Linked DNA regions of Nothobranchius furzeri. The protein of the gene in region 1 purifies or fractionates together with the protein of each later gene. This does not show direct contact. Links are inferred from orthologs where the notes say so. Each region holds a gene or a part of one and is shown in the gene's direction. Other genes may lie near its edges.

Region 1 (4,295 bases):
TGGGGGTGACGGTGGCACAGGAGTTAAGTGCTTACCCTCGCTCAGTCTGTCACTGTCGTTGTGTCCTTGGGCAAGACACTTAACCCTCCTTGCCTGGTGGTGGTGGTCGGAGGGACCGGTGGTGCCATGTGCTCAGCAGCCTCGCCTTTGTCAGTGCACCCCAGGGTAGCTGTGGCTACATTGTAGCTCATCACCATCAGTGTGTGAATGTGTATGTGAATAGGTGAATGACTGATTGTGTTGTAAAGCGCCTTGGGGGGCTTCCAAGACTCTAGAAGGCGCTAAATCAAATACAGGCCATTTGCCAGCTACCTTTGTTAACTGAGCAGTGAAAAACGGATGAATGATTGACAAATTGTATTCTTAAAAAATTATATTTATTCTTTAAAAAGAAAGAAAGTCCCATCTCACCCTCTGCGGTTGGTCTCATCCTTCCATGCTAGGGTCCTTACCAGTGGCCTGGGAGCTTGAGGGTTCTGCACAGTAGCTGTTCCTAGAACACACACGAACACACACACACACACACACACACACACACACACACACAGACACACACACGTGCGCGTGTGTGTTAACATTGTACAGTATTTTTCAAAAAAGGATATTCTCAAGTGAAATTTTCATTTTGCCGCTAATTTCAAAAGTACACATTTGTAATTGAAATGAAATTAAGGTGTATTTTTGTTTTTATTTGTTTATTTATTTTCCTTTTATTGCATTTAAAAGTCTCTCTGAGGTTTTAATCCCCTTCTGTTTGCTCCTACCTGGAGCAAACAGAAGAGCACACATCACCCCTATTCTGATGTCTCTGCACTGGTTACCCGTTAACTTTAGAGTTCATTTTAGAATCCTGACTATAACTTTCAGGGCTCTACATGGTCAAGCTCCTCCCTATATTACTGAACTGTTAAAGCCTTATGCTCCAACCTGAGCCCACAGATCCACACAACAGAACCTTCTAGAAGTTCCAAAGACCAGATACAAAAGTTGAGGTGATCGCTCCTTCCAGGCTGTTGCACCCCCACTTTGGAATGATCTTCCTTTATCCTTAAGTAGCATTGACAGTCTGGACACTTTTAAAAAACAGCTGAAGACCCTTCTATTTGCTGCTTTTACATAAATCTTTTATTTTCTTACGTTTAACTCAAATTTGTAATTTTTCATCTGTTTATGAAATTTAATAATTTATGACAATGGTTTGAGATCATTATGATTTATTACTTTATATTTTATTTTTGTTTTGATCTATGTGAAGCACTTTGTGATTCTATGTCTTTGAAAAGTGCTACATAACTAACATTTACTAACTCACTAGTGAGAAAACATCAGGAACACGTTCAAATCCATTTTCCTTCAGTTGTTTGGCTGTTGAACTAATTTTGTGCCCGACAGCGTATGCGTTAATTTCAACTACATTTCCCACCATGCCCTTTTGAAACGACGCACGCGCAAATGGGTTTATTTGACACGCATAACCGGAAGCTCCATTGTGGGATTGACCGAAGAAGACTTGGTAAAGTTTATTTTCCCTTAAGCACAAGTCGTTTGTCTACAGTGCAGCAGTCACAAAATTAAGTTTTGCCTCTTTGTGTTCATTTACACGTTTCACGTTGTTTTTGTGTGAACGAAATAACGGATTTTATCGCGATGGACAGGTTTACAGCTAGCGGACTTACCGTTAGCATACGGGCCCCTACTTCACACAACAGCTAACTTTATGAATATGCTTTAAATATTTAGCGCAGACGATGAATTAAATTGCTTTAATAGCAGTATGCTAATATATGAGTAGTTGTGTGGAGTGAGTTTTTGTAGGAAGGGGAAGGTGGGGGTGATCAACCCAAAACGATGGAAGATTAGAATGTAACGTAGATGCAGACAATACTTATTAGTCGTTTTGTCTAATTGTTCTGTTAAGAGAGTGTAAGAGAACTTAATATTGTTCTATTTTATTGTTTATGTCTTTAATGACGCTATTGTACATTTTCTTCAATGAGAAAAGTGGTGGGAACAAAAAAAGCCGGTTCAGCCTGCTGTCAGTGATAGACCGCATCTTCCCGTAACTTCCTATAACTGATCGGGTTCTGTTTTACAATCAAAGCTGAACAAATATCTGATTATCTGATGGTTTCTGTGCTGGTGGAAAGGATTTGCGGTTTTGTTTTTGCTGGCAGTTATGTTGAGGATGATGGAACTGTTAGAAAAGCAGAAGCCCCATCTGGTGGATGTGTCCCTTTTCACACAGTCATCATCTAAGGAGGAAGATGAGGCAGCAGTGGTCTTGATTGAGCTTTAAGAGTTATTATTACAGATGTTTGTTGTAGATGAAACAGGAAGAGCAAGAAATGTGCTCAGAGAAATCATATTTTTTTTACAATGTAACTTAAGGTTTGTGAACTGTAAACAAGGTTTGTTTTTCCAAAGCTGACTCAGTTTACTGTTCATGCTTTCATTTGATGATGGGTAAATCATCAGTCATCATTCACTTCTAACAGAAGTGAACAGTCTCAATTTTGAGTTGCTCTGCGTTCCTGTAAAAATTCTCCAAATGAATCAGACTTTTAAAACCACCATTACACATTTTTTGAGCTGTTCTTCAAGTTTGCTGAATGTTTTTTAAAGTCTTGCTTTTGCTGCTTTCATTTTTCGCTTTGTTCCGGTTCTTGTATTGGACAGTTTTTGTCTTAAGAGTAGGACGATAACAGTGATTAATATTGCAATGAGGATATTACTTGCAATAAATAAAAACTTAACTCAGGAACAAAAATAATCAAAAACAAAGACATAAAAAAATTATTAAAAATATCATAAAAATCAGAAAAACAAATGATGCGAGAAAATGGATAAAGAAAATGAACAAGAAAAGGTAATCAGTGGATCCCAGGAAAAGCAGAATCATCAGAAAGAGCAGAACAAAGCTAACTCAGGTGTTTGCTAACCATCAAAATGAAGTGCCGTCTTCCTCGGGGGCGGCATCTAACCTATGAGAACCCACCCAATTGGCCAAATGGGTGAAGAGCTTTATTTGATTTGTTAAAAAAAACACCATGCTTCCATTTGATTGACAGAACGCATTATGTGTAGCAAACATTTGAGCTGACCATTCATTGCAATATTTGTCTGTTCTTTGCGATATGCATATTGCGCATGCTGATATCGCGATAACGATATATTTGCAACATATTGTGCAGCCCTACTTAAGAGTAATATTGTTTGCTTTGACCCATAAGCCACTCAGCAATGTAAAGACTCCTAAACTCTTACGTTATGCCTCACAGACATTGCTAAAAATGTCACAAACTTAAGTGTGAAAAAAATGTGAAAGAGCAAGTCACCCCCTACCAGAGTCTAACTTATCCCATTTCCTGTTTGAAAAATGTGTCACAAGAAGGCGTTTCCTGGCAGAAAGAGAGGGCAGAGCCGCTAACAAATAAACACACACAAGCTCACAGTGGAATTGTGACATCATATGGTACCAGCTAACATCATAGGGTACCCCTTAGCCAATAGCAATGGCAGATTTAAATTCAAATGTACTGCAGAGTTTTTACCTGAAGAGGACACAACACTGACAGTTTTAGGCAGAATTTTACATTTTTAACTAAGATGCACTAAAGTGCCAAATTATTGATTACACGTCTCCAGCACTCATGTATATAGTTTATCAGCAAAAAAAAGTTGATTTAGGGGTGACTTGCTCTTTAAATAAGCAACAAAAGTCCAGGAAGGTTATTCAGAAAACCAGCTGTCTGTTAATCAAGATTACTTTGAAAGATTTAAGGGAAAAAGTAAAGATCCTTAAACTTCGCCCAAGATGTTTGTGGGGGTTTGGTTCTTTTATTCTGCATCCAAAGACCACCAACTGCTGCCCCTGGTGACTAGACTATGTTATTGTAATACATGTGAAAACCCATTTTAATTTACAAAGAAAACCTAAATATTGTTATTATATAAAATATAATTATTTAATATAATTAGTCGTTATCATTGTATTATAAAATCTTGTTATTGAACATTTTTTTTGTCACTGTAGGTGTGATGGAGAGGTGATGTTCCAGTCAGAGGAGCGCTAAAGGCCAGAGAAGCTATGACTGAGTGCTTCCTACCCCCCAGCAGCAGCCCTGCAGAGCAGCGCAGGGCTGAGCACCCGGGGGGCGTTGCTCGTACCCCCAGCTCCGAGGAGATCAGCCCTACCAAGTTCCCCGGGTTGTATCGTGCCAATGAACATTCGCCGCCTCATGATGGACATCACCACGAGGCACCTGACACATACGTCTCTGACGATGACAAGGAGC
Region 2 (4,250 bases), about 14 Mb from region 1:
ATGAGGCCACCTCCCCCAGAGGGCCTTATGCAGTGATAATTTGCTGTTAGAAATTGCATTGGTGGTCAGTTGTTCTGCTCTGCCTGTTTTGTATTTTTAGGATGTTGGATATCTTCAGTAGATTTTCATAACTTTGTTTGCCTAAAAATAAAATTCTAAAGCTAAATGTTATGGAAACATTATCGTCCTCTTGTAAACTAATATCTGGACACATTTTTATTTCTTATGTCCATTTTTTAATTAAAATACACAAATACTGAAAATACCTGAGTGTTTGTTCTACAAAAAATACAGAGAATTATCTGAAGTTTACTCTGATCAGGTTAAAATAAAACAAATCAACAAAATTGATTTTTCTGTATTTAAATTGATCTTCAACACTGCCTAAATCAGTTTGAATTATATTTTAACAGCAGTTTTCATTTTGGTATCAATTATTCAGACTATGTATTCAGTGTATGTACTCATAAAATCTTTTTAAAATAAAATGTTTTAATTTTATGAACTTCTGCTGAACACACAGATGTTTTATTTTTTTGTGACCCAAGTTTCCAGGGGTGACCATGACCCCAATTGGAAACCTTTTGAGGACTGTTGGTAATCACAAACTATGGATTAGAGAACATTCTCAAAAAAATTTGATGTGCTCCACGCCAAATATCATTCAAGAGTTTCTTTGTCCTGTGTCTGTGGACACTCCAGTCTGCTGCAATGAAGACCTCTGAAGATATCCATCAGCATTGCTTTCTCTGGCAGAAGACTTTCGAAGATGCTCCATGGCATTGCAAAAGTGTTCGCCTTACCCTTCGCTGCCACTGGCCCAGTTTGGAGCCTTTGTTTGGGCATTTCACCTCGGAGATGTGACAAACTGAATTTATGTTTATGTATTTAGCAGAATTTGTATAATGTTTCATACAATCTATTTGTAAGAATCGTTAATCACGATTTTTGTAGCTCATGTTTGCAGTAGATTTTCTGCCTTACACGAGTAACCAACGGGGGGCGCTCTAGAGTCGTTTACAGCATTTGCCCCATTTAATCACAAGTGGGGGATGAAATTATGTTTCTAGTTAGGCACATCTATTTAACAATATGCGCACAGTTTAACCTGACTACGTTTTTTTTTATTCTGACAGCGTCCGTACCTCATATTTTGTCAATATATTTTGACATGTTCTGATATATTTTTTGTAAAGGAGGCTGACCTATATAATTGTAAAATACCAGACAATTAACGAATATTAGCCTGCGTGGCTTATCATTTCAAGGCCTGGGTGCGGTTTACACATCGCACCAGCCACGCCTTTTCCTGTCACAACGGAACAGTCGTTCGTAAAGACGGCGGGTCAGCTGACAGGCATCAGCGGACCGGGGGAAGGAAGAAGCGGAATTTGCGGCTGTGAGCAGGGATTCTGTTGGACATAAAATACACCCAAAGGCTAGCCTGGAAGCCAAAGAGTGGTGGTGTTCGTGAAAGAACAAGAGTAAGTTAACGAAACGGAGATTCAGTCATGTATTTTTGCAGTAAAAACGATTTACTGTGATCTGTAAACCGCCAGAGAAAACAGGTGAGCGCTCTCTTTCGTTGACGACGCTAACATTAGCAACTCCTCAGCTAACCGCGGCTAGTTAACGTCAAGCTAGCCGCGGTTAGCTTGATGATAACGGAAAGCATGCTTTAAGATTCCTTCAAAGCTTAAAACGTGCCATCACATAACATTTTGATGCTGTTTTAGTTGGTTTGTTATGTAATTCATATCGTTTACACGTAAGTCACTGTAACTTGCTGTAACACACGCGATAACCTCAGTTTTTCTACCCACCGGAAGCCCGTTAAAAATCCGCTCGGCTCGCTGAGGATCGTCGGCAGCTAGCCTGCTAAATTAGCTAGCCATCGCTGTCTTCAGGGTATTCTCCATCACTTTGATCATACTGAAGGTCAAATTTTGAACCGAGCTAATACATTTAAATAACGTTTTAAACAAACCATACAGGGAAAAGATTATACATCGATGGTAGAAAAATATATAAAATGTATGAACATTGGTAAATGGCCCGAGTGAGCAGACATCTTGACTAAACCGATAAATGTACGATTCAGGTTTGGTGCAGGGTTTAATCGGTCACGACTGCTAGTAGTAATTTGTTTAAGAAAATTCTCAACACTCTCTATAAAAGTGTTTCAGTTATGCCTTCTAGGAATGCCATGGATGTCCTTTTTCCATCCTAAATTTTCTAGAAGCAGCATTTTTTAAACTGGCAGTTTTATTAGTAAAATACACTTAATTAAAAAAAACTTACATCCCCACGGGGATAAAAATGGTACATTTCGGATGTTAGTCCTACCAGGTCTAGGTAGGGTTTAGCGGACTATGATGATCTCAGATTTATATCTTTATCTGGTAGCATCCTACCCCAAACCGGTGGCTGCTGCTAATCTGTTAATCTTATTTGGAAGTGTGTGTGTGTGTGTGTGTGTGTGTGTGTGTGTGTGTGTGTGTGTGTGTGTGTGTGTGTGTGTGAGAAAGAGAGAGGTGAAGCTGCCTAAAAAGCTGGTGCAGCTATGCAAATGAGTGATTTAATAAAGTCACTAATGGTGTAGTGCAGCTGCAAGAGAGTGTGTGAGTGAGAGAAACAGGAAAACGGATGCGAGGGACAAGTGCCTCTCTGTACTGTGGGTGACTTTTACTTTACACTGCTTTTACTTTCCTATCTCCCCTTTTCCTTCCCAAATTTCAATCTTTTTTTTTATCCTCAGGAGGGGTTTGGTTTCATCATGGCAAGTTGGGATTGAGAAGCATTCACAATGATTGGAGGATTGTTCATCTACAACCACAAGGGAGAGGTTCTCATCTCCCGCGTCTACCGAGATGACATAGGGTATGTTTCTCAGACATTATGTGCGATGATAATCTTGTGGGTGGACTGTTTAGGTTTGATTCTGGATGAGAGGATTATTATGGGTTTCTGTTTAGCTAAATTAGTGTTTGGCATGTTTCTGCAAAGAAACAACACAATTTTATTGTCTGAGGCAATGATTTGCTTCCCTTGTGCTTATCATAAACCACACCTTCAAATTAAAAGATTAGACGCAGCTGTGTGGAATGCTCAAATTCAAATTGGCTTCACTGCCAGTTTCCTCATGGTGGGATAGTATTTGAATTATCATTTTCTTCTTCTGACCAAGTAATTTATTTGCTAAAATGTGTTCCTTTTCTTCTTTTTTTTTTTTTTGCCTCAATACATTTGTGTTTGCAAATACACTTGACTACACTTGTGATTTTCTCACTCTTGTAAGTCAAACTGTTTAATGCAAAATAGACCTTTCTGTATTGATGATTAATATTGAATGCATTATTTTATACAATGCTATGGTTAATATTTTACTTTGTTAGCAAAATATATAAATAATTATTTCTGCTGTAATCATTTACACTAAACGAAAAGAGGCGTGTCTGTGAGCAGAATATCTTATTGCTGCATCTGTGGTAAATTTAATTAATTTGTTCACCTTTGCTCTTTTAAATGTCTGAGTTCATTAGAGCAGGGGTTCCCAAATTGGGGGTCTGGGCCCCCAAGGTGTCCCAATAAGATTACTGGGCATTTTCTTAGCTGAGGTTGGCAAGATTTTATTTGTAAAAAAAAAAAAATTACATTTAGAAAATCATGGTAACACACCCTACAGTATAATCAGAACTCCATATAAAAGTTTGTAAATGATCACATTAATGTGTAATGCATGTTGGGGTTGGGGTCCTGGCTTGTCTTGGACATGGGCTATGGGGTCCTCAAAGGAAAGACTTGAACTCCTGCATTAAAAATTTTATTATGAAAGGTTAAAACATGTAATGAAACCCATGCTGGATACTTATTCTGAAATGTGGTTTAAAAACGGAGCTGAGTCATCACAACCAGTGCTGAGCAGCAATAGATGGAAAAATGTAGCCACTCACTTTTTTTTAATTTCATTCATTTTACAAAAAGGCATTGCTGTGTTAGGGCAAATGTAAGGTCTGCACTGCTCTTGTGCAACGTGTTATGGATATGATCTAAGTAGAATTTCCACCTTGCTTTCCCAGAATAAACATCTGCTCGTGTGTGTGCTTTCACCACTGTGTGTTGTACAAAATTCCACTGAACCCAAAAAAGAAAAGAAAATTAAAACACCCGCTCATTTTATTTTCATTGCATTATGCTGGAAAAAGCATAGTTGTGTGAATCCATGAATTTCATAGCTTATTGATGTTGCT

Evidence for each region.
Region 2: the proteins of ralbp1 (region 1) and AP-2 complex subunit mu-A purify together in Homo sapiens (affinity purification with mass spectrometry; 3 studies listed by BioGRID and IntAct, counting the BioPlex papers as one, with this or other methods). This does not show direct contact. The link is inferred for Nothobranchius furzeri from reciprocal best matches to the Homo sapiens genes RALBP1 and AP2M1.

What each region holds. Positions count from the first base shown.
Region 1 is NC_091751.1:42,837,116-42,841,410, forward strand, and holds the start of ralbp1 (ralA-binding protein 1), read left to right. Parts: upstream 1-1,430; 5' UTR 1,431-1,513; intron 1,514-4,033; 5' UTR 4,034-4,087; coding exon 4,088-4,295. UniProt on the Homo sapiens protein: Multifunctional protein that functions as a downstream effector of RALA and RALB. As a GTPase-activating protein/GAP can inactivate CDC42 and RAC1 by stimulating their GTPase activity.
Region 2 is NC_091751.1:56,895,503-56,899,752, forward strand, and holds the start of AP-2 complex subunit mu-A, read left to right. Parts: upstream 1-1,344; 5' UTR 1,345-1,484; intron 1,485-2,758; 5' UTR 2,759-2,806; coding exon 2,807-2,880; intron 2,881-4,250. Other genes in the region: sf3a2 (splicing factor 3A subunit 2), read left to right, coding at 1-36.